Linked DNA regions of Ovis aries. The protein of the gene in region 6 interacts with the protein of the main gene of each other region in a biochemical or structural test. Links are inferred from orthologs where the notes say so. Each region holds a gene or a part of one and is shown on either strand. Other genes may lie near its edges.

Evidence for each region.
Region 1: the proteins of NOTCH1 (region 6) and FBXW7 form a complex in vitro, tested with the Homo sapiens proteins (2 studies listed by BioGRID and IntAct, with this or other methods). The link is inferred for Ovis aries from reciprocal best matches to the Homo sapiens genes NOTCH1 and FBXW7.
Region 2: the proteins of NOTCH1 (region 6) and NFKB1 form a complex in vitro, tested with the Homo sapiens proteins (2 studies listed by BioGRID). The link is inferred for Ovis aries from reciprocal best matches to the Homo sapiens genes NOTCH1 and NFKB1.
Region 3: the proteins of NOTCH1 (region 6) and MAML1 form a complex in vitro, tested with the Homo sapiens proteins (2 studies listed by BioGRID). The link is inferred for Ovis aries from reciprocal best matches to the Homo sapiens genes NOTCH1 and MAML1.
Region 4: the proteins of NOTCH1 (region 6) and RBPJ form a complex in vitro, tested with the Homo sapiens proteins (5 studies listed by BioGRID and IntAct, with this or other methods). The link is inferred for Ovis aries from reciprocal best matches to the Homo sapiens genes NOTCH1 and RBPJ.
Region 5: the proteins of NOTCH1 (region 6) and USP10 form a complex in vitro, tested with the Homo sapiens proteins (2 studies listed by BioGRID, with this or other methods). The link is inferred for Ovis aries from reciprocal best matches to the Homo sapiens genes NOTCH1 and USP10.
Region 7: the proteins of NOTCH1 (region 6) and JAG1 form a complex in vitro, tested with the Homo sapiens proteins (3 studies listed by BioGRID and IntAct, with this or other methods). The link is inferred for Ovis aries from reciprocal best matches to the Homo sapiens genes NOTCH1 and JAG1.

Annotation. Positions count from the first base shown.
Region 1 is NC_056070.1:5,437,071-5,440,570, reverse strand, and holds part of FBXW7 (F-box/WD repeat-containing protein 7), read right to left. Parts: intron 1,727-3,500; 5' UTR 1,677-1,726; intron 1,035-1,676; 5' UTR 966-1,034; coding exon 471-965; coding exon of another isoform or gene 441-470; exon of another isoform or gene 1-440. UniProt on the Homo sapiens protein: Substrate recognition component of a SCF (SKP1-CUL1-F-box protein) E3 ubiquitin-protein ligase complex which mediates the ubiquitination and subsequent proteasomal degradation of target proteins.
Region 2 is NC_056059.1:22,569,264-22,572,763, forward strand, and holds part of NFKB1 (nuclear factor NF-kappa-B p105 subunit), read right to left. Parts: intron 2,169-3,500; coding exon 2,077-2,168; intron 402-2,076; coding exon 263-401; intron 1-262.
Region 3 is NC_056058.1:1,375,313-1,379,352, forward strand, and holds the start of MAML1 (mastermind-like protein 1), read right to left. Parts: upstream 2,801-4,040; 5' UTR 2,518-2,800; coding exon 2,197-2,517; intron 1-2,196. UniProt on the Homo sapiens protein: Acts as a transcriptional coactivator for NOTCH proteins. Has been shown to amplify NOTCH-induced transcription of HES1. Enhances phosphorylation and proteolytic turnover of the NOTCH intracellular domain in the nucleus through interaction with CDK8.
Region 4 is NC_056059.1:46,439,513-46,443,012, reverse strand, and holds part of RBPJ (recombining binding protein suppressor of hairless), read right to left. Parts: intron 1,652-3,500; coding exon 1,477-1,651; intron 1-1,476. UniProt on the Homo sapiens protein: Transcriptional regulator that plays a central role in Notch signaling, a signaling pathway involved in cell-cell communication that regulates a broad spectrum of cell-fate determinations.
Region 5 is NC_056067.1:10,408,622-10,412,599, reverse strand, and holds the start of USP10 (ubiquitin carboxyl-terminal hydrolase 10), read right to left. Parts: upstream 2,801-3,978; 5' UTR 2,776-2,800; coding exon 2,584-2,775; intron 1-2,583. UniProt on the Homo sapiens protein: Hydrolase that can remove conjugated ubiquitin from target proteins such as p53/TP53, RPS2/us5, RPS3/us3, RPS10/eS10, BECN1, SNX3 and CFTR.
Region 6 is NC_056056.1:2,983,845-2,987,344, reverse strand, and holds part of NOTCH1 (neurogenic locus notch homolog protein 1), read right to left. Parts: intron 2,055-3,500; coding exon 1,932-2,054; intron 1,429-1,931; coding exon 1,195-1,428; intron 929-1,194; coding exon 773-928; intron 613-772; coding exon 427-612; intron 220-426; coding exon 106-219; intron 1-105. UniProt on the Homo sapiens protein: Functions as a receptor for membrane-bound ligands Jagged-1 (JAG1), Jagged-2 (JAG2) and Delta-1 (DLL1) to regulate cell-fate determination.
Region 7 is NC_056066.1:3,767,296-3,769,803, forward strand, and holds part of JAG1 (protein jagged-1), read right to left. Parts: intron 2,175-2,508; coding exon 2,065-2,174; intron 1,979-2,064; coding exon 1,745-1,978; intron 1,538-1,744; coding exon 1,406-1,537; intron 1,006-1,405; coding exon 855-1,005; intron 173-854; coding exon 1-172. UniProt on the Homo sapiens protein: Ligand for multiple Notch receptors and involved in the mediation of Notch signaling. May be involved in cell-fate decisions during hematopoiesis. Seems to be involved in early and late stages of mammalian cardiovascular development.

The DNA.
Region 1 (3,500 bases), on a different chromosome or scaffold from region 6:
AAAACTGTTTACAAAGAATATACCTTAAGAATCACCATCATAAGAAAGCTAATTTGAGGTAACTTCTAGTAACTTGTGCCATGGGGTCAGGCCTGTCAGTACACAGCCCATCAGACCAGCTGCACTTGGTAAATGAGATCCCTCACTACTTGATCCACACAAATCATGTTTCACTCCAGCCCTCTCCACTGCACACAACCTAATAACCCCTGTCCCGGGGACAAAATTGATGATGAAATTTGGTATTAATGATTTTTCATAGTAATAGGAGCCTTCTCTCCATTTAATAATACTGTCCCATTACCAAGATTTCTAATATCTTCTGTTAAAAAAAGAAAAACTGGTTTGTTTTATTACCACACAACTGAAGATTAATTTTGCGATGATACAAAGACTGTGAGGAAAGCTTCACCGCAATTAACACGGATTTGTAAAATCTCTCAGGTGAAGAGCAGACTGAAGGTACTCACTTTTGTTGTCTTTGTATAGAGCGGGGAGGAGAGCTGGTGAATAGGCAGGCCCACGACACTATTAGAGTCTGTGACACTGTTACTGTGTGTGCGTTCATCTTCCCTGCTGCTGTCGTCAGACTGATCAAAGTCATCACTCTCCTGGTCCATTTCCTCGTCCTCCTCATCCTCCTCGTCTTGCTCACCAGCATGTTCTTCGTCTTCCTCTTGCTCTTCCTGGTTTCCAGAGGAGTCCTCCTCTACGGAAATAAACCGGTTGTTGTTCTCCTCCAGCTGCCCTTGCTGGGACTCGCTCTGGCCTCCAGGCCTAGGCTCCGCTCCCACGACTTCCCCATTCCTCGCCGCGTGCTCCTCCTCTTGGTGTCTGGGCTGCTGCTCCTCCTCCACCACGCGGTTCATCTGCTCCTCATCGGCCTGGCTTGAGGAAGGGTTACCTCTCAGAGAGCCTCCAGTGCGTCGTCTTTTGCTGCCCACAGAGAGCAGTTCCTGATTCATTTCCAAAAGCCAGCTTGCTACTTCTTGGACCTTGGCTAGGCTATCAGAAGATGCAAAGGTTTTCACATTCTGTAGGGAAAAATGAGGGGGAAAGAAAGGATTTTACAATCTACATTATCTTCTACTTTTATGTTATATGTCTGCACTCCAAATTTTAATACAGATTGTAAAAAGATTAGATGCCATGCAGACATTAAGATGTTCTTTTGAAATCAACAGAAACTTTAAATTATAAAAGTTATGAGACTTTATAAAGACACACAAAAGTCATATAGTAAATAGCTTTATTTTAATCTCCTTTTAAAAATAATTTTAGAACAAAGGTTTATAGTTTATTTGCTTTGACCAACACAACACAATCTAACCAACAAAATATTCTTAAATTTTAGATCAGTAGCTCATAAACTACACCCTTCATCAAACTTCCACAAAATGTTAAAAAGTATATCAAAAAAAAACCTATTCAATGCTCAGTTAAGTACAGGAAATGCTGAGATAAACCAAGATTAAAAGGCTTTTTTTTTAAATCTTAGGAATTTTCCAAACTTTTCTGATCACAGAAGTTTGCCTTTAGACAGTTTTCTGAGTTACCAAATATAATCACTATGATTTTTGCTTTTCATAATGAATATAAATCAACCAGACATCAAATAAATTAAAAAGTTTATTTCAAAGAAAAGAAAAGGAAAATAAAAATGTGTAAGTTCATACCCTCTGACCCAGTCACTCCACTTCTGGCAATCTATCCTAAGGAAGTATTCCTAAAACAGAAAAAAAAAGTAATGCAGAGGATACTCACTGCAGCTTTATCCACAAAAACAAAAAGTAAAAATAAATGCAAATTAAAATAATCAAAACCCAAACATTCAAGACAAAGGAGCCCATGAGATGAGACATATTTAGTATATCTAAACTAAATACATCTAAACATGTTGCTCATAAAATTTGTGAAAACATGGATATTATACTATGCTAAGGGCAAAATCCAGGACATTATATGATCATAGAATGATTTTTAAACTGCATAATGACTAGATTGAAAACAATATATCAAAATACAAACTGCATTTAGGCAGTGGTATGATAGGTGCTTTAACTCAATTTTTACTGTATTTCTCAAATTTTATGTATCAAGCATGTTTACTTTTATGCTTTTAACAGTGGCTTTAAAATTTGATCTGATATAGAATCTTTTCATAACATTCCTTCTTAGATTTCATCCTTCGCAAATATCTACATGGACATAATTGAGGTTACAGAAAATAATGCCAACATATTACACAAGTTCATATAAAATTCCTTTAAAAAATATCTTTAAGGATTTCAAGAGAAGGAAATACAATATTCATTTTCTATCATGTCCCAAGAGTAACTACTTTATGTTACAATGATCTTGAAATAAAACAGCCTTATCCACTTTCCTAATCCTTGCCAATAGATGGTCACTCCCGGAAAGGGTCACAGGTCTCACTGCGAGCTTTAAGATGAGGTCAAGAAAGTCAAAAAGATAGTTTTAAAACAGTGGCATTTCATTTTCTTTTCTGTAATCAACTATTTCTAAGAAATAAGCTACAGTTGGGGGAAAAATTCTAATTACACTAGAAGTTCAAATATAGAAAGAGTTTTAAAGATGGACCCCTGAGACACTCCATCATCCTAAAAAGAAGAGGAGTAGCCAACAAAGATGGCTAAGCAGGAAAACCACGAAAGAGTGGTGCTAGGGAAGCCAAGTTAGGGAAGCTTACCCCGCAGGAGGAAGTAAACGATGACAAGTATGGCTGATGGATGAAGCAGGAGGACGGCAAAGAACTGACCACCGCATTCAGTGACATGCAAGTCACTGCTGTAGATGCAGTTTCTATTAGCTGAAGTCTGATACCGAGAAAAGTAGAATTAAGAGACTGGGAAAAGAGAATAGGGGTGGTGGGCATGGACAAGGTTGGAGTCTGATGCAAAAGGGGACCAAAAAAAGGGAGTGGAAATTGGTAGGGAACGTGGTGTCAAGAGAAGATTCTTTTATTCTTTAAGACTAGAGAACTAGCAGAATATCTATACACTGACAAGAATGATCCAGCACAAAACAAAAAAAGTTGATCATGTAATCAAGATACAGAAGAAATAGTGAAATTATATCCTTAGTAAGTAAAATGGGATGATGAGAAAGAGTACAAAAGTTAGAAAAAGGGATAATTTTTAAAAAGGATACTATATTCATGGTGATAGGTGGAAAAGCAAAATAGTATTAAATAAATACTTTAAATTTATCTCTTTCACCAAATTTCTTAATGTGGGAACAGTTGGAAGGAAGTCAGGTTAAAAATAACATACTGAAAAACAGTGACCTACATAAATGAAAAATTCACACACGTATACACAGGCACACACGCGTGCAATACCTCTATGTATATAACAGGAAATCTGCTATACACAGGTTTTCTTCAAAGCTACAATCAAAACCTTGCTTTAGTAACTGTGTCTAAAGTTTAGCTCTTCTAACACTAACAAGAACATTTTTTACTTGGATACTGATGCAAA
Region 2 (3,500 bases), on a different chromosome or scaffold from region 6:
AATGATAGATTCTCAAATTCAAAGCGAAATTTTAAATGCTCAACCTCATATAAAACTCGGTGGGAATAACATTATTTTAAAAGGCTAGACTTAATTCTATGACCCTAAAATCATATATTACTTCTTTCTTCTCTAAAAAGAAGTACCATGGACCCAAGGACCAGTTACTAGGAGGCTGGTCAAAGGAGGTGACTGCCTGACCTTTTCTCAACAGCCTGTCCTCTTGTTGGAACAAGTGCAAGTGTTTAAATAACCGAGTTACCTTTGATTTCAGGATAGTAGAGGAAAGGTTTTGGTTCGCTAGTTTCCAAATCAGATTTCCTCCGAAGCTGCACGAACACAGAGGCTGGTTTTGTAATGTTGACATCTTTATACTTTGGAGTTTTGAAGACAATGGCAAACTGCAGGATACAAAGATACAAATGTTGGAGTAGGACTACATTTCTTTTAAAGCAGTGGTACTCATTAAACACATTCTTTATGCCCAGTGCTTAGACACAGTGTCTTAAAAAAAAATACAACACCCTAGAGAAAGTTACAACCTTGGAATTCTGTACCCATATATTTTTATTATATTGCCAATGTGAAATTGAAATATAAGATTATGCCAATGTACTGCAAATCCTCATTAGTTCACTTGTCTAAAGTTTCAAATGTCTTTCAGTGTAAATAACCATGTGAATAAAATATATTGCATACATCCTCTTTTCCAAATTAGCCTTAAAAGCCTCCAAGATTATTTACAGCAATATCATAAAGACATAATGGAAGGAGAGAGAGGAGGATGGCCAGCCAACAACCACAGCGAAAAACTAAACCCTTAAGGGAGACACTGTGACTGGGTCAGCAACTGTGAGGTGGGGATGGTCGAGGCTCTAGACACACACAGGGCATCTGTAACACCTCTAAGACAGCCTCCTTGATATCTGCTAGTATAAGAATAGTCAGATTTAGTTGTATTTCATCCACAAAATTAACGTTTAATCTAACAGTTACGCACAGAACCTCCCAGAGTTTCTTTATGCTATGTAAACATGAACACAGAATCTTTTTTTATATACACTTTGTTTCATATCTATCTTTTAAAAAATTTCAGTGTTGTATCTTTGAGACCTTTCCGTTAGTCTGTAGAGTATTCATGCTTTCTTAATAACTGTACAATATCCCCTCACATTGACTTAACTGGTCACTAGCTGATGGGCACTTGGATTTTTTCCATTTTGTGTGTGTGTGAAAACTGTATTCCTCAATCACTCAGAGTAATTGTTAAGCTGAGGATTCAGCATTTTCATCTCTTTGTCATATACTCAAATGTTCCTGGGAGATCTTAATTTATCATGATGATATCAGCCTCAACTAGAAGACTCCTCCTGTCAACACTTTTCATTAGAATACCCTTTTAACAAGTCTCCTCAGGTTACTCTGGGAGAATACCATTACAGACTAACTGTGTTTCCTCCAAAGTCATATGGTGAAGCCCCAACAGTGTGGCTGTATTTGGAGACAGGGCCTTTATGGAAATAAGTAAGGTTAAAAGATGTCACAAAGGTAAGGTCCTGATTGGATAGGATTAGTGGTCTTAAAAGGAGAAGCAGCAAAAAAAGAGAAAAATAAAAAGACACGACACCAGAGAGCTTCTTCTCTCTCTGCCATGTTAGGACATAACAGGAAGGTGGCTGTCTGCCAACTCAGGAGAGAGCCCTCATCAGGAGCCAACCCTGTCAGACCTTGATCTGGGACTTATGGGCTCCAGAACCATAAGCAAAAACTGCTTTTGTTTTATTCACTCAGTCTATGATATTTTGTTATTAGTCTGAACAGACCGGTGAAATACATAACACATGTCTACTTAAGGATTTGAGGGTCACAGCCTTGCATCTAGGCGATCAGATCCTGACAGAGCTTTACCCATAATTCTAGGTAGCTTTTCTGGAACAACTCCAAGACATAGTGCTCTTTGATGAAAGTTAAAGAAATACTTATCATTTTTCCTTTTTTATTCTTGGGATCCAAGTACTGAATTTCAACAAAGCAGAAAACATAGTATCATCTTCCGTACCATCATCATCCACTTACTTGTCTATGAACATCTGTGGGGGAAAAATCTCCAAATCCTTCCCAAATTCCACCATTTTCCTCCTCTTCATAAAATCGAATCTGGATGTCATCTGTAAACAGTCACGTTCAGGTGTATAATTTCACACATTATAATAGCATTCGTAAATGTGATGAAAAATAAAGCTGGTTCTAGAGTCTACCTACTATGTACTTAACCTTTTTTTGAAAGTAATTCATATAAAATAGACTTCTGAATTTATTTAAAATTTTGAGTAAAATTTTTTTGTCACCATAGTAATGGGCCCCAAGTTTCATTTACAAGGACAGAATTCTAGATTTACCTATTCAATCTGAGTTTTCTCTTAATCAATCTTCGACGTTCCCACTTCTCCAACCCTAAACCAATTCACTCCCCAGGAACATGAAAGATAGTGAAGAATATCAGAATCCCAAAAGACGGTTCACCTTGATGCAGATTTACATAATATTTAACTTATATAAAGTTTACTATTTGGCAGACACTGTTCTAAGTGATTTTATATGCATATATTAACTGATTTCATCTTCAACTCTGTGATGCAAATGTACTATTAATATCCTCATTCTGCAGAAGAGAAACTGGAGTTCAAAGAGATTAAGTAACTTATCTAAGGCTGAACAGTTAGTAAGGGGAGAGACCAGGATTTGAACACGGACACTGAAGGTTCAGACCCCAGGCTCTTAAACATCCTACTATGCTACCTCTCTACAATATTCTAGTAGTCCCTGTTGAGAAACTGCTAAATTATGTGTTGGTCTAGACCCTTTGGGTTAAATTAGAATGTCTTAATTTCACACTTCAGTCATGGATTCTACTCCTGCAGAAATATGACAATATAACTCAGGTTGGCATCTCCCTGGCTTCACGTCCTCATTCACAGGGAGGCATATACATTATTGACTTGTAAAAACTAAATGTATATTTCTATTTAAATAGAATTTTAGAAATATTAGGGTTGGGTAAGACATTCATAGGACCACCCTGGACCTAGTTATTCAGATTCTTTAAGCTGGGTATAAAACTTCTCTTAATTAGCCATTTCAATGTAATGATGATGACTTAGAGTCACATTTACAAATAAAGGTACTTAGATTGTGTTTACTCATAGTATGCACACCCAGGAATCTAGAAATGCATAATTACTTGGATAGAATTGGTTAAAAGAAAGCTGATACCAGAATCTGCAGAGAAAGTGTAAACATTTTGGGGACAAAGACATACACCTTTATCTTAAAATCTGATCTCATTTTTTCTGACTTTTTATCTCAGAGCATTTGGCCTCAAAGGACAATTTTCTTTTTTTAAAGCCATAGTTCTTTAAATAGGAGGTAAGTTTCCAGTTATACAGCTGCTTACTCTGAAAATGCTCATCAGAGTAAGCAGCTGGGTAACTGCTTGTAGT
Region 3 (4,040 bases), on a different chromosome or scaffold from region 6:
CTTTTGGAAAAAATAAGAATAATAGTCCTTATGTAAGGAGTACTGGGCTTCCCTGGTGGCTCAGCGGGTAAAGAATTCACCTGCAATGTGGGAGACCTGGGTTCGATCCCTGGGTTGGGAAGATCTCTTGGAGAAGGGAAAGGCTACCCACTCCAGTATTCTGGCCTGGAGAACGCCATGGACTCTATAGTCCGTGGGGTCGCAAAGAGCCGGAAACGACTTTCACTCAGGAATATTAATCAGATCAAATACATATACAGAATTGTCAAAAATAATAATCACTTTCTCCCCTCCATCTCTCTGGGCAAAGCTGTGCTTTCTCTCAAGGCCAAGAGGCAAGAACTCGCCCCCTCTCTGAACGGAAGGAGCCACTAAAATGCCTTCTACTAAACACTCCTCTTCCATTCCTAAAACTTCACTCCAGAGCCAAAGCGCTCACCTAGAAGCATGTGGAGCCTGGAGCTAACAGGGTCCCTCTTCCTAGCAGGGAGGCAGCAGAGCAATTCGATTCTAAAGTTTAGCTCACGAAGCCCATGGGTCAAGGTTTACTGTGATAAGACACCAACACAGCACGACACACCCGATCACCCAGAGGAGTGACTAACAGGCCAGGCTCAAGTTCGAACACAATCAGAACTCATTTCTCTGCAAACAGCATGTCCAGCCTCTCTCTAGTAGTTTAGGGCTAAAAATATCATAGAGGACCTAAATTCTTAACTCTCCTTAAACAAACTGAATCACTAATAATATATATTCTAGCGGGTGTTCAAGGCAACTATTTGTGTGTAAAACTGAGATTTTTTTTTTTAATGGGCTTTCACTATTTACTTAAATGGAATGACCACCCCAAACCTGAAGTCTTTCCTTTGAGCTGCACCCCTCCCTGTCTCCTAGGGCTTACAGTCTAGTTTCCAAGACACTTCTAAGGTAGCATGCAAGGATGTGCTTAAAATATTCAAAATAGCACAGGCAATGCATTTCTTTAATGTTCTGACAAAGGAGATTCTAACTGCTCTGGAGCAGGATAAAAACTGGTTTTAAAGAGGAAGATGAACTGGATCTGAAGGATGTCAGGATTCTGAGAGGTGACACAGTGGGTCTTACAGGCAGCCTTTCCATTTATGAAGTATTTTCACCTGGACACTCATTTCTTTTGAATCTTACAAGAATCCCAGAGGAAGTCAAACACATCTTCAATTTACAGAGAAGAAAAGTGAGGATGAGAAGTCCTGACTATAGAAGAATTGATAACAATAAGCAATGAGATGTCCAGCAGTCCAGACTGATGTGGGAGAGAATAAGAAAAATAATACAAACTGGGCATAGGGCCTGTGAGGGTCATAGCATTTAAAGGGTTAGAGACTAAATATCTGAATACTAATTAGGGAAGAGTACTGCCAACAGCCCAGTGAGACCTAACAAAGGCGTGAATTATAAAAATACACAGAAATTAAATTGGTAGTATCTGTTCTAAACTTTAAATTACCGAGAAAACAATAGCAACGAACCTTATAAGTAGTTTCAGGAAGGAAAACCTCTCACCAACAAACTTCCCTAGCACTACTGAGAGCCCAAGACGGTGTAATAATTTACCAACAAACTCTAGTATCATCAGAGGTTTTAAACAGGCTTCTAATTAAAACTGGGACTGCCAACAATACTGCTGTAATCACAAATTCCAGAGTTGCCTAAACAAAGAATACTTTTGTACATCTCAATGAGCAGCACTATGCCTTTACGAAGATTTCCAAAAGATTCTTGACTTTCCATTCAGAACAGTTTCAGTTGGTCAACTGAAGTCCGTCTTATTTCCATATTTAAGCCCTGACCCTGCAAAGAGCAAGGACTCAAAGAACAGCTGCAGAATAAATGAAGCCATTATCACAGGCAACTTTAATGCCAGTCTGTTCCAAAACAGAGTTCTCAGAATTTCGAAATCAAGTCTGGAAGAAGACTGTTTCACCGCCCGGTCACCAGCCTTCCCTGCCGGGGCCTTACGGTCGCTCCTCGGGATCCTGTTTGCCAAGGCAAGGCCACAGTGCCATTTCCCGCAGATGACAACCGCTGAGTCCCAGCCACGTTAGCCTCCCCGGAGCGAGACCCAAGGCGCTGCGGGCACTGAGGCAGTCTCCAAGCGCCCTGGGCGGCGTCAGGGGCAGCATCTGGAGGCCGGGCTGCTCCCCGGGTCCTACTCACCGCGACTGGGAGGCCGTGCTCAGGGCCGTCGGCGGCATCGAGGCGGGGCGCCGCCGCCGGGGCCGGGGCCGGGGCCGGGGCCGGGGCGGGCGGCTGCCGGTGCTTGCCGGCGCGCTTGGCCTTGGCCTGGATGCAGCGCTGGTGAAGGGCGAAGGTGTGCTGGCGCTCGAGCTCCAGGCGCTCGGGCGACACGGCCTCATAGCGGGCCTCGCAGGTGCTGTGGTGGCGCCGGCACAGCTCGATGCGCCGGCGGAGGCGCTCCATGACCGCGCTGTGCCGCGGCAGCGCGAACTCCGCCATGGGGCAGGTGGGCAGCACCATGGGCCGCGGGCTGCTCAGGCCAGGCCCGAGGCGGGCCTCTCGGGCCGGCTGGCACTGCACGCCCCGCTCCGCGCCGGCTGCCCGGCTGCCTCACTGCCACGCCATGGTCCCGCGAGCTGCGGGACGGGCTCGCGCGCGGCGGGGGTCTTCCTCTGGCCCCGCTCGGCCCAACCCGGGCAGGCGCTCGCTGCCCACCTCAGGCCTCGGCCTGTCCCCGCCGGCCCGGCCCCATTGTTTTCCGCGCCGCCGCCGCCGCCATCTTAAAATTGTTTTCGGAGCTCTCGGAAGAGGGCGGGGCTCCGGCAGCCGACCCTGCCGTCACAGCTGATGAACAGACACTGCGGCCAATTAGAGAAGGAAGAGCGGGCCGCCCGAGGGGCGGGGCCGCGCACACTAGAGGCGCGCTGGGCTGTTCCCTTGCGGAGTTTAAAAGGAACTCTCGAGTCAGGCGGAGGGAAGCAGCTGGGCGGGCTTCAGTCCTCGGCGCTCAGCTGAGTGACCGACAGAAGCTGGCTCTAAACGCCGCCTCACGCGAACAGGCCCTTCCGGGTCCGCCGCGGAAAGGGGCAGCAGGCGCGGCGTAACCCGCCGGACCCAGATGCTGGTCTGGCACCACAGCGATTCACCATTTTCCTACCGCTTCTTAAATTCGGGTTTGATAAGCTCAACAGTAGCCACGCTTTTTCAGTGTCATCGGTTTTCCTTCGACCTCACTCCTCACATTCAGCCTCACAGTTGGTAAGAATCGTACTCGAGCTGAAGGTTTCCTCGCGCTATTCTGAATCGAGAGTATCAATCTGCCCTTATATGAAAGTATTTCAAAAGTTACACCTACTAAAAGAAAAAATGCCGACATAAGGAAAAGTATATGAAGTCTCCTGGGGGAAGGAGTGGGCACAGTAGAACTGCAAAGGATGATGCTTTAGTAAAAAAAAAAAAACGGGGAGCCTGGCCTGCAAGTTTTGCGTTTAAAATTTTACGTCTGTTAGGTAAAATTAAATCAGACGACAAAATCCTACTAAAGACAATTACACTCTAGCATTATACCTAGTAGGCAAAGGAAGTGGGAAACTAGGGGGGAAAAAACAGGAGCAATCAAACTAGACAGTCTGTTGGGTCAAGAGAAACTAGGGTGCCAATACCTGTTGGCACCCTAACTGCTAAAGAGAAACAGGAGGTGCCAAAAGGCTACAAAATGAGACACCGTCGACAGCTCAAACATTTGGTACAGTAACTTCTTACTAGGCCAATGAAAATGTTTTAAAAGCAGAAGAAAAAATCGAGTTTTTATTCAAATAGTACCTGTTTTTATACAAACTCAGTAAAAAAAAATACAAGTGACCCACCAAAAGCAAGTGTGTAGGGCTCATGAACACCGTAACAGTCCTACTTTTACCATTCTTCAAACATAAGTTTTACACCAGAATTAAAGTTCCTAATGGGGAAAGATAATTGTAACTAGGAGCACTACATTTTGTGTACTCTTCAGAAAGCAATTCAAAAGCCTATTTAAAACTACGTAA
Region 4 (3,500 bases), on a different chromosome or scaffold from region 6:
TCGCCTTCAATGAATGAAACTATTATTCTTCAAATTAGTAGACAAGCACTTATCCTGCCTTTTCTTCATAGACTACATTTTAAGCAAACAGCTAACAAACACAAAAGTTAACAATAAAACAATCAGAAACGCCACAATTTTGCAACCATGATGGACTACTAAAACCATTTGGTTAAAGTTTCCTGAGGAATTTTGTAACTGTTAGATTAGACTAACAACTCAACTTACTATAACCAGTCTTAGTGTGACAAGAAGTGGGATAACCAGACAATAAGACTTCTGATCTGACAGAAATGAACATACGCAGAACCAGCTAATTCTAAAATGAAGGTCTTTAGGTCTAATCAACAGTTTATAGGAGATATGAGAGACAGAGGAAACACGTATCAGTCAGATTCAGAATATGGAAACTGCATAGGAAAAAATCACCCAATTTCAACAAATAAATAACGGAGGAAGGAAAGGCTAGTAGAAAGAACAGAAACTATTTCAGGTTAAAATATATGAACCCTGTTTGGATCCAAGTTTGAACAAGCCAACTACTGAAGACAACAAAACAACAAAACCTCAACTGTGAAAAGGTCTTTTGAGACAGTATGATCAATCTGCACGTGGACTGGCCAGTAGATGGCATTAATGAACTATCATCAACTTCTGTTGGGTATAATGTTTAAAAGGAAAATTTTCCGTTAAGAGTCACCACTACAGAAATGATTGAAAGGACAGGATGTCTAAGATTTACATTAAAAAATTCCAGCAACTGAAGGAGGAAGAAGAGTTGGTGGTGACAGAAATGATAAAATAGAATTGGTAAAATCTGTTGAGGTCTGGTGGTTGGTCACCTTATATCAACACTACCCTTTTCATGTAAGTTTGAAAGTTTTCATAATAAAAAGTCAAAATAAAAAAAGAAAAATGGGTATAGAAGTTGAAATGTCTAATTCAAACAGCATTTACCGGTGAAAATCTAAAAATGTGCAGAAACAGCAGTCTGCCAGACAACCATGTTAAATTTTTTTAGGTTTTCATGATGGCCTTCCAAAGTCCATTTGATATAACAGTGCTTCTCAAAGAGGTGTTCTGATATTCTGAGTGAATCAATTCTTGTGGAATAGGAACCATCTTGCACACTGCAGGGTATTTAGACACTCAATGCTAACATCACTCCCTCTAGTCACTGACAGCAAAAGGAAACTCCCATTTCTCCTAATGCCTCTGGGGAGCAGTGAGGAAGCAATTCTGGTTAAGAACCACTTTGCTACACCAGGTGTTGCCCATTTTTAATTAGAGAAAAAAGACAACAAAGCAGCAGCAATAACTGAATATGACTTTTTCAGATAAAGCGAAGACCAAAAAAATACTTTAAAAAAATGAACTGGCTACTGAAAAGAAAATTTTAATTTAAAAAATAGTTGAATTAGTCTTATTAATTCATATTGGGAGTTGAGGGGGAAAAAAGAAAACTAGTATACACACGGTCAGCATTTTTCAGTGACTGCTTCTTTTTGGAAGGTTTGGAGATGACTTTTATCCGTTTGCTTAGGAACACACCAATGTCATCACTGTTGCCATAGAACATCTTTACAGACAGCATGAAGTGCTTTCTCTTGTCTGAATCAGATATATACAATGTTTTGGCTGTGCAATAGTTCTGTGAAAGAAAAGGATAAGTCTTAATAGCATCAAAACCCTGTCAGCTATGTACAAATAACTCAATGAGGCTATGGCTAAGTCTGATCAGACTTAAGGCAGTAATTCCACTGAACAGCTGATAAAACCAACTGTAAAAAGTACTGAAATTGATCTCTGAAAACAAAGTACAAAATCTTCCTTACTGAGTCTACAATACCAACACTGTATTATTCTGTTTCCCCCTCTCAAAAAGACTTAAAAAAAAATCTTTTATTGTTTTATATAGCTCTGCATCTATTTACAGAATTATCAAGACCTTCAGGCAATAAAAACATTTGCCCTGAAATAAAAAGAAACACAAAATATAATGCTACAAAAGTCTATAGAAATATCTGAATTGTAGAATTTGAATTATAGAAACAAAACAATACTAGCAACAGAGGTACAGGCCATGTAATTCTTAAAAATAAAAATTCAAGTGCTAATTAGGGTAAAAATTCATGTTGCATAGCTTATGTAGCTTCAACTGTGTAAGACAAAAACTGAGAAAATGAATATTTAACAAATTATTTTTAAAACATCAGATCCAAAATATAACTATATAGTCAAATACCATGACCATAATAAAAATAAGGGCTACATATACTAGAACTTTGTTGTAATAAATATTAAAATAAGAATGCAACATGCAAAATAGAATCCCTCCTTTCCCAATAATGACTAATCATACCATTCAATGAACATGCTATTGAAAGAAAACAATATTATCTTAAATGAATGGTTGTTAAGTAAGACAGGAGTAAAGTGTCACTTTCTCAAGCTCAGCATCCATCTCACTGCTTGGTCCATCTTTGCCTACCTGGAACCAAACTGACCTCATTCTTGTATCTTGATGGTCCAAGCATATGATTATATTGTTCTTTCTGCCTGGAGTGCCTTCTGCTGACTCTCAACCAATCTTATTCTCTACAGACTCCTCTAATAGCATTTTTCATTAAAACTAAGTATTAACACATAATTTTGGCTTAGAGACACTGTTGCTAAGTCATTTCAGTTGTGTCCAACTCTGTGCAACCCCATAGACAGCAGCCCACCAGGCTCTCCTGTCCCTGGGATTCTCCAGGCAAGAACACTGGAGTGGGTTGCCATTTCCTTCTCCAATGCATGAAAGTGAAAAGTCAAAGTGAAGTCGCTCAGTCGTATCCGACTCTTAGCGACCCCATGGACTGCAGCCTACCAGGCTCCTCTGTCCATAGGATTTTCCAGGCAAGAGTATTGGAGTGGGTGCCATTGCCTTCTCCAGAGACACTGTACTTCCCTGTAATTAAGTGTTTTTAAGTACTAGCTGATACTCAAGCTCTCAGGTATTATTTTCTGCAAATTTCTAGGGCTTGGGGAAATGATATAATGGCAGAAGTTGATGAAAGATGTACTAAGCCACAATGCTGAGAAAAGCAAGTAGACATGCTGTTTGGTATTACTGCCCTCAGAATTGCTGGAAGCAGTTAAAGCTAGCAATAAAGTTCAATTGCTATTGTTTAGTTGCTAAGTCCTGTCCAATTCTTTTGCAATCCCATGGACTGTAGCCTGCCAGGCTCCTCTGTCCATGGGATTTCCCAGGCAAGAACACTGGAGTGGGCTGCCATTTCCTTCTCCAGGGGATCTTCCAGATTCAGGGGTTGAATCCACATCTCTCGGGTCTCTTGCACTAGCAGGCAGATTCTTCACCACCGTGTCACCTACGAAACAGCTGGGCTTCTCACTACCTATCCAATTATCAATCACAATTACAAATGTCTAGGTGTACAGCTTGGAGACACACATAACAAAAATCCATGAGATGTGACCAAAGCCTCTTTGTTCAACCA
Region 5 (3,978 bases), on a different chromosome or scaffold from region 6:
TAACACTCTACCATATGCTCTAAGTTGGATCCAAGAAATCCCACAGTGTAAAACGACGGGCCACTTTATTCTATCCTAGGTAAGGAAAAGATTGAGGTGAGCCCGCTGCAGGGGACCAGGACAGGAGCAGCCACACGATATTCAAATAGGGTGTAAGAAGCGTTACTGTGGAGATTTCACTAACAACAACTGCAATGATCACAAACGCTTCTTCTGGTTTAAGACAGCACTGGTCAGTTCAAATTAATTATCCCAAAGCATTTCATCAGTTCCCTCCTGACAACAATATTAATTAGAGATGTACTTTCACCTCAATTGTCAAAGTTCATTATGTGGGTTTGTTAAAATGTGTTGAAAGCTATCCACATTAGAAATGTTTCCAAGTTTTTCAGTTTCACGTCAATCCAGGGGAAAAGGTTCAATCAATACTATGGAAATAAGATATAATCTATAAATGTTTTAAACTGTAACCTTAAGAATCCAATTTTAAAATAGGACCCTTAAAAAAACCTAAGAAAAAAACAAAATAAAATAGAGCCCCTACTGCTAATCTGTGGTTGTTAACCCCCACAGTAAACACGTACTATGCATCATCGTGCTTTAGCACAGGGTGATCGATCGATCAATATTTTTTTAATTAATGAATGGCAATGACCAAGGCAGTACCCTTAGGACAGGAGGTAACTGAATAAAACTAAATTATTAAAATGCTTGGCCTGACTTAAGCAGGATCCAACCATTAAATCCTGTCACATACATGATTTCATTACCTGTTTTCATTACTACTCTTCTAAAAAGAAAATTATTTGAAGTATGAGAAATCATACCATTTCCTTTCCTACCTTCTCTATGCTAGAACTTAAAAGCATTTCAATCATACTTTAAAAGAATAAACCCAAAGTGTTGCTAACATTTATGTTCAGCTAACTGTTGCCACCTTAATTTTCAAAAGATGTACAACATGCAGGCAGTTATGCTGTATAAAACAAACACTAGGACAAGGAAAGCAAACGAAATTACAATCACGTTTACATATTATCACTGCTCATTAACAGTTCAATTTTGCCCTGCGACTGGTGCTTACGATAATGAAGTGAATTATGCCTAAACATGCTTCTTTCATTTCAAAATCGCTACGACTATGACCCATTCGTTCACAATGAACCTTGTACCTATTTTGTAGCTAATCATCTTAAAATTTAAGTTGAGAAAAAGGCAAATACTAAATCTCTTAAGGAAAGAAATCTTTGAATTACACACTTGTAAAACTTATTCAACCACTAAGCCCTTTTTTTTGTGCATATAACTTTACTGAGTTACTTTCAAAAGCAGACGTACTAGTGAACAAAAAGTTAAAGGCGGAAAGTTGTAGAGCAAACTGAAGCGCCAAAAATTTAACAAAATTGCAGCTTCCTGTAAGATGTCATTTTTTTAAATTATCGCGTCTTAAATTCCGCAACACGCGTTAATTACAAGTTATTAAAACCTACTCCATTCCCAAAAGGGCAACAAAAACCAACTGCTTACAGTGAGGGTTATGATTTACCGGTCGCCAGTTTTCCAATAGCTACTTTGTTCCATTTCCCTATATTTGATACAAAGTTAATACTACAGCACACAGAGTTGATACAAAAAAGTGCCACAACTTCTAGGGACTGGAAGTCGACAAATCAGTGGTCTACACAGCAAGCCCGACAAATAAGACCACATGCTGATTTTCAAACAGAGCAACTGTATTTGGGAGAGTGGGGAGGACTGAGTTCAACTCTAAACTATCTCCCTAAAAGCGTGCCCGTTCCTCTTTCTTTCCACTGCGGGATTATCTTAAGTGTCCCCTAAGCCTGAGAGACCGCTCTGACAGTGTGCGTTAGTATAGTGTCAGACCGGCTGAGACGGATTCAAGCAAAGGATGTCACTCAAAGGCAGGTATTAATAAAAGTACGGTCCTGGCGAGTTATTCCGAGTCCCCTTTGCAACAGTAACCTTAAGCTACTCCTCAGTCACTCGAATCTAAAAGCCGGAAAACCAGCAATCTCACTCACCCCCACCCCACCCCACCCCGCCCCCCAAACGGGGTCAATCAAACTGCGAAAGCAACCTTTAGTGCCACGGGGAAAACGGTGCACCCCCAAATCTTGGTTCGCTGCGGGCAGAGAGGCAACCGGAGGGCGTGGAAGGCTCTGCCGCTCCCGGGCCTCCCGAAGCCCCTCGGCCGCCTCCCGGGACAGCCAGGGCCCCATCCTTACCGCCGGCTCGCCCCGCGGTCCAGCCCTGAGGTTAACCCCTTCGCGCCCCCCGCCCCATACCCTCTCCAGGCCGGCCCGGGCGCCCCCTCTCTGCCGCCCCCACGAGGCGGGGCCCGGCGGGCTCGGGCGCGGGCCGGGCCGGGCTGGGCTGAGGGCGGCCGAGGCGCGGAGGCAGCGGGAGGCTCGGGGCCTAGTCCCGGGCAGCGTGTCCCGGCGCCCTCCCCCACTCCCACACGCTCGCTCAGGGCCGGGGTGCGCCCGCCCGCCCGTCCACCCCGGCGCCCGCCCGCCCGGGGCCCGGGATCTCTTCCTGCCGAGGGCGCCGGCTGGCGGCTACCTGCGGGCTGCGGAGGGCCATGGTGGCCCGTTTCAATGAGCCTCGGCGCTCGTCCGGCTCCTCACGCTGCTTCCCCCGCCGCCGCCATCTTCTCGCCCGCACATACACACTCGCATCGGCCGCCGCGCCTGCGCACTGGCAGCGCTCCGCGGGGCGTGGGGAGGCCGGGCGCGCCGGGCGTGCGCTGCGCATGCGCGGCCGACAGGTGGGCGTGCGCGGCGGGAGCCGGCCAGGGGTGGACCCTGAGCCCGCGCCCCTAGGCGGATACGGCCCCGCCCGCTGCAGACCCGAGCTCCCGGGCCCCGAGGGAAAGCGCGGGGGACTGAGGTGATAACGCCGGAGCGCCTGGTCGGCCCGAGCTTCTCACCACCCTGGAGGCCACCTGGGCGGTGCTTGGCGGGACTCGGGAAGTCCGGGCCGGGAGCTGCGGCCTGAGGTCGGCCCGCTCCGCCGAACCCTTGGGCCGGGGTCTCCGAAGTGCGAACTGAAGATCTCAGAGCAGTCGCGTTTATGGAGGTCGCATCCACCCATTCATATTTGTTCACTTTTCATTCATTCCACAAACACACTGAGCGCCTGCACTGTGCCACGCCTTTAACTAGGCATCGGAGAATATTTTTAAAAAATAAAAACGCACCCGTAAAGCGTTTAGGATTGGGGCCTGGCAAATGGTAAGCATCCAGTGTTACCTATCACACACCTACTTGCATGTGTGCAGACAGACCAGTTTTCGGGTCATTAGTTCCAGGAACAGTGAGCCCCACCTGACCATGCAGGGTACCACCTGCTTCGGCCCCTCCAGCTGAGTCTTTGGGTTCGTCACCCGTGAATGAGGTTAATTAAATTTCTTAACTCACAAGGTTTATGTGAAGAGCAAATTAAATGAGTGTGAACACACTGGCAAAAAAAAAAAAAAAAACTTTAAAAAGCTAGGGAAACAATACTGTATCCAATCTGTGATTAAAACCACATGAAAAAAATCTACCTATATATAAAGACAGGGAGGGATATGAAAACCCATTGATGACTTACAGTGTTTTACTTCTGGTTTTTAACAGCATGTTTTGTTTGTTTGTTTGTTTGTTTTAATGGTGGCACCACTTGATTTCAATACAAGGAGATACATGTGAAAAGGGAAATATGAGCAAGCATTGTGGGGCCCTGGGCTTCCCTGGTGGCTCAGATGGTAAAGCATCTGCCTGCAATGCAAGAGACCCAGGTTTGACCCCTGGGTTGGGAAGATCCCCTGGAGTAGGAAATGGCAACTCACTCCAGTATTCTTGCCTGGAGAACTCCATGGACAAAGGAGCCTGGCGGGCTACAGTCCATGGGATTGCAGAGTCAGACATGACTGAGCGACTAACACGTCATTGTAGGCCCTGCAGTCCTTAGCAG
Region 6 (3,500 bases):
GCCTCCCCACACTCCGGAGGTGAGGCTCTTACGGGCCCTCCCCACCATGGGGGACCTGACCGGCCTTGGCACAGGGGCAGGGTGGGCGGCGGGGCCCAGGCTCACCCGTGGGGCACTCGCACACGAACTCGTTGATCTTGTCCAGGCAGCGGCCGTTCTGCAGGCAGGGGCTGCTGGCGCACTCGTCCGTGTTCACCTCGCAATGCAGGCCCTCGTAGCCTGGCGGGAGCGGGCTGGTCAGCAACCTGCTCCCCGGGGCCGACCCAGCCGCCCCGCGCTCACCTGCTCTTCACTGTGCCCGGAGACCAAGCTTGAGCCTCCCCAGATAACTGTGGGAAGGCTGCAGCCTGGGCGGGCACGGAGGCCAGAGGCAGAGGCGATGCGGCTTCCCCACTCCCAGGGTCGGGCGGGCGGCCGGCCGCGTACCAGGCATGCAGATACACTGGAACTCCCCGATCTGGTCCAGACAGGTGGCGTCGTTCTGACACGGGTTCGATACACACTCATTGACGTCGATCTCGCAGCGCGGGCCGGTGTAGCCCTGCAGACACTGGCACTCGAACGAGCCCAGCGTGTTGATGCACTTGCCCGCGTGCTCACAGGGGTTGGCACCTGGTGGGGGCGGCGGGGGGTGGATGCGGCATGGGTAAGGGGCTGCTCTGGGAACCCTAGCCTCTGGAACAGTCGGGGGTGTGCCTGCCTCCCCCATCAGACCCGCCTCCCCCCATCGGACGACTTCCAACAGGTTCCCCAGCACCCTGGCTGCCCGTACCCAGCGAGCACTCGTCCACATCCTGGCTGCAGGCCGGCCCCGTGTACCCCGAGGGGCAGGTGCAGATGGCCTTGCCGTTGACGGGGTTGGTGTCGCAGTTGGCGCCCTCGTTGCAGGGGTTGCTGATGCAGGCGTCATTCAGGTGGCACAGCAGACCTGGGCACGGCGGCAGGGGTCAGCGGGAACGCCGACTGCCCACACCCGGCTCCCCAGGGAGGGCCCCCGCCAGGACACAGCCAGCGACCCTGTGGAGGGCCCTACAACGCCAGAGCTCTTCCGGGAGGCTCGTGGCAGGCCGCTTCACTCCAGGAGGCCCCTCCTGGGGCTCCCCCCTTACGGGCCCCACAAAGCTGCAGTGTGAGGCCCCTCGCCCAGGCCTGACCCCCCAGGACCCCCCGCCTGGGGGCAGGCCGGGCGCTCACCCGTGCGGCCGTGGGGACACTCGCAGTAGAAGGAGGCCACGCGGTCATGGCAGGTGGCGCCCCGGAAGCAGGAGGCGCTGGCGCAGTCGTCAATGTTCTCGCTGCAGTCCGCGCCCGTCCAGCCGTTGACGCACACGCAGCTGTAGTCGCCGTGGGTGTTGTGGCAGGTGCCGCCGTTCTGGCAGGCATTGGGCATGAGCTGGCACTCATCCACGTCCTCTGTGCAGTACTGACCTGCGGGGGGCCGGGACGGTCGGTGCCTCCAGCCCCCTCCGCCAAGCCAAGACCCTCACCTCGACCAGGAAGTCTTCCTGACTTCCTCCAGCCCCGCCAGCCAGAGCCAGCCTTTCCCCGGCACCCCTGGCACCTGGGGGCTCTTGCCTGGCCGCTCCGTGGGCACAGGTGCACTGGGGTCCACGCTCACCTGTGGGCAGGGCCTGCACCCTGCTGGCCAGCATCCCTGTGTCTTGGCCAGCAAGCTGGCCTCAAACTGGGGACCTGACTGTGGCCAGGCCAGCCTGGGGCCAGGCTGCAAATGGCTCACACAGATGGGCTGGTGCCACCCACGTCTGTGCTGCTCCAGGGGGTTTGGGGGGGGCCTCAGACCCTGGCAGGGGGGCAGTCAGCTGCAGGTCACAGCATCCTTCCCGTCCCATATCTCAGCTCCCTTCTGCCTGCCCCCCACGGGGACAGACTCCAGGGGCAGAGGTGCCCCCTGCGCCGCCCGCTGTGCACACCTGTCCACTCCGGGGGGCAGCGGCAGTTGTAGGTGTTCACGCCGTCCACACAGGCGCCTCCGTTCTTGCAGCTGTTCCCTGGACAGTCGTCAATGTTTTCCTCGCAGTTCTGGCCAGTGAAGCCTGCAGCAGGGGCCGGTCGCCCGGTCAGGCCTCCCCGACGGGGCCAGGCCCTCACCGTCCTGTCACGCTCGCACTGGGCTCTGGCACCCTCCTGGCTGGACCCAGGACACCCTGCTCTGGGCGGAGAGCTGCTCTCCACAGCCTGTCCTGTGACGCCCACCGCCTTGGAGCCCTAGGGGTCCCTGCCCCACACCCTGCCCTCCCCACTCCTGTGACCGGGCCGCACACCCCAGAGCCCACGGTCAGCACATTCCTAAGTGATCGTTTTCTAAACGGCCGGCTGAACAGACAGAGACCCACGGTCACAGGCTCCCCGGGGTTCTGTCAGAGAAGACATCTGCGCTACGGCCTCTGTGCTGGGCACTGCCTGCGGGCCCAGCCCTGTGCTCAGGGTTGTCTGCACACCCCCACGTGCGGCCGTGGATACCCCATTTGACGGGGCAGCACTGGGCCTGGGAGCCCCCTCGCACGGAACTGGAGCAGGGAGACAGAGGGACCCTGGCAGGTAGTCGGGGGTGGGCGTGTGTGCAGGTGCGGCCCCCAGACTTCCCAGAAGCAGAGGCGCAGGCAGGGTGGGAGCCCCCCACCCTCTCCCTGCCCTCTCCCGGCCAGGCCAACTTCTGCGGCACCCCCTCCACGTCCAGTCAGTTAGCTATTAATCCGTTCGACTCCTGCTGGTTCAATAATCAACCCAGAAAGGTGCGTCTGGCAATAGCCAAACCTGCAGCCAGTTACTAATTAATGCCCCTCCCAGGGCGCCTTTGGACCCCCTCCTGCCCCTCTCTCAGAGGCCCCCCCCACTGGAGCCTGGCGCCCACACTCCAGTCCCTCCTGCGTGCGGCAGGCCTAAAGCGCCGCCTCTCCCCAGCCTCAGCTCACCTCCGGCCGGTGGGGCTGCACCTGCTCCACGCGTGCAGCCCCCTCTGCCAGGCCCCCACGCCTCCCACCGGCCCCCCCAGCCCGCACCACAGCCCCTCCTGACCCTGGGGTCACACAGCCCACCCCCCTCAGGAAGACATCTGAACCCAGACGCTGAAACAGCCACATAGCCCAGCCGGGCAGTGGGTAGTGCCGGGGCGGGCAGGTGGCGAGGGGAGAATCAGGGACCGGAAATGCACACGCCTGGCGTCTGCACGCAGAGGCAACAAGCCCAGGGCTTGCGGGCGGGAAAAGCACTTCCTCTTTGCAAGGGCCGGGCTGGGCCGAGGGCCGTGTGGGGGCCAGAGCGACCTTTGGGTCAGTCCTGGGTCAGCCGGACCCTGGGTCCTCCCCTCTCCAGCAACCCAAACCCCACCGACCCCACCGACCCCACCTCCTCGTCGCCCCGCCCCAAAACTCCCTCCCCTTCCCAGTCCCTGCCTAACCACCCCCATGCAAGTGACAGACTGGAGGCTTTCGAACCTCTTCGTCATTATCAGTATTTTTAGATCAGCAGCAGCAAAACGG
Region 7 (2,508 bases), on a different chromosome or scaffold from region 6:
TTCTTAATCTGGTTCAGCTGCTCGCGCACGTTGTTGGTGGTGTTATCCTCGGAAGCAGCCCGCGCGTGGCTGCCCGGCTTCCGGCGCTTGCGCACGCACCAGTAGAAGGCGGTCACCAGGCAGCAGACCCAGGCCACGGTCAGCACAGAGCTCAGCAGCGGCACCAGGAAATCTGCACGGCAGGGCGGCGGCGGGGAGCCCGGTGAACCACACCGCGGCCCCAGCCCCTTCCCCACCCGCATCGTCCCTCCGGGTGTCCTCAGAGACCCTGCCGGCCTCCCCGGAGAGACCAGGGAAAACAGCAGCCCGTACGCGTGCACACTTCTGTGTGGGGAGGGGCGTCTGGCTACTGAGACAGCTCATGAGATGAGTGGTTCTCAGAATCATCAGAAAGAAGGCCCTGGGACGCATGGCTCCAACGCCCCCGGGGGTCCCGTGCCAGCTATAGCACAGTGATGCTCCAGGGATCCCCGGGGCACTCCCGCTGCCCTGCAGGGCCACTGAGCCATTCATCAAAGCCGCTCTTAGGATGGACTGTTCCCCAACCCCGGAGCACAAGCAGGCTCCACGAAGATGCGTACTCAGGGTACGGCAACACTCTGCCCAGGCGGTGCCTGCAGCCAGAGGCAGCCCGCAGGCAAGGGACAAGTCAGGCCACCTCTGCCCACAGCCGTGGGATCCTGTCATGTCAGCCGGCCTCTGTCTTCTTGCTAGTTAAAAATGGGGATCCTTGAACAGGGAATCAGCAGCTAACTTCCCGCCTGGGGTTTCCCTGGATGCAAGGTTGTGCTGGTCTTATGGATGAGCTGGACAGGACGGTCCTCTCAGAAAGGGACCCTGACCCCACCACCTACCTGTTTTGCTCTTCAGAGGACGCCTCTGAACTCTGACTTCCGAAACGGCAGCAATCAGCGAGCTGTTCCCATCTCGTTTACTGACGAGATTTATGATTTTGTCGGTGATCTCCTTGATAGGGTTTCCATCATCCCGGATGTCTTCAGCAGACTGAAAAAGGAAGCATCAGACACAGGGGTCAGGGATGCTCACCAGTCACTTTTACTCAAAATTATTTGACCATACATGTATGCCATTCCCTGGCGGCTCAGACAAGAAAGAATCTGTCTACAGTGGGGGAGGACCCAGCTGGGGATTTCTGGGCTGGGAAGATCTCCTGGAGAAGGGAATGGCAACCCACTCCATTATTCCTGCCTAGGGAATCCTATGGACAGAGGAGCCTGGTACGCTATGGTCCATGGGGTTGCAAAGAGTTGGATACAACTGAGCTCCTAATACACATGTACATCAAGCTCTCCTTCCATGTATCTGCTCATCTGGATACTAGCTAAGTGAGCTCTCTGGGCTACTTTCAGTGAAACGACTAGGCGTGAATGGGTCTCATACTCACAATGGCCACATGCATTTCATTGTTTGCAGAAGGGGAAGGCTCGCAAGCTACGTAAAGCGAATATTCGGCAGAAACGTTCTTCAAAATATTCAAATTCCGCAGTTCACTGCAAATATGCTCCGTGGTGAGACCCTAGAATGATATTTTAAAATCCACACGTGTGTAAGGGAGCGGAACGAAAAAAGACTGCTGTTTACTTGAAAGGGAGGCTGCGTGCAAGCTGAGCTTTGGTGAAGGACAAGAATCCAGGCTAAGGAAGAGATCGAGCTCGTGATGTCTCTGCTTTAGGGCAAGCGGACACACCCCACCTCTCCAGAGCCAGCCAGAAGTGTCCCATACCGGCGACATCATCTCCTTGTTGAAGGTGAGCGTGATGTTGGCACAGTTGTCCTGGTAGTAGGGGTCAGATTCGCACTTGGTCTTCACGGGCTGGAGGCTTGAGGACCGGCACTCACCCACCCCGGTGCAGGGGTGCACGAAGCACTGGGTGTCCAGGATGGGCACGCAGCTCTGCCCACTGGGGCACTCACTGTGCCCTCTGTGCAGTGAGCAAGGGCGGGGGCCACACCACACCTGCAGGGACAGACAGAGCGCAGCTCAGGAGGTGCCCGGCGGCGGTCCGCGCGGCCCCAGGATGAGGGCGGCCAGGCCGTGCCTACCTTGGAGCAGGCGACCCTCCCGTCCAGGCACTGGCAGGCATTGCAGTCAGCGTCCCACCTGGCCCCGTCGGGTATCACGCTCCCCATGGTGACGCACGACCTCCCTGAAACTGAGGCAGGGACCCGTGAGTGGCAGGAGCTGCCCTTTCTGTGGACCATCCTCCTGACTCTTCACTCCCTGCCCAGCGGGAGATGCTGAGGCCTGTCGCCCTTTGCCCCGTGACAGCGCAGCTGCTCTCAGCGGGCAAGCATTCTTCCCCCCTCAGCGGGCCCTGCACCTGGCCACGCGACCAGCTATGATCAGTGCAGCGTCCAGGGACAGAAGTGAGCGGAGTCTCCCCCTGGGAGTGAGCTTGGCCCCTTGAAAGCCCGCCGTCTGCCAGGAAAAGGACACGCCCTGGGTACAGTGCCGGTCCAAAAAGGGTGGGGTGGCACACAGAACAG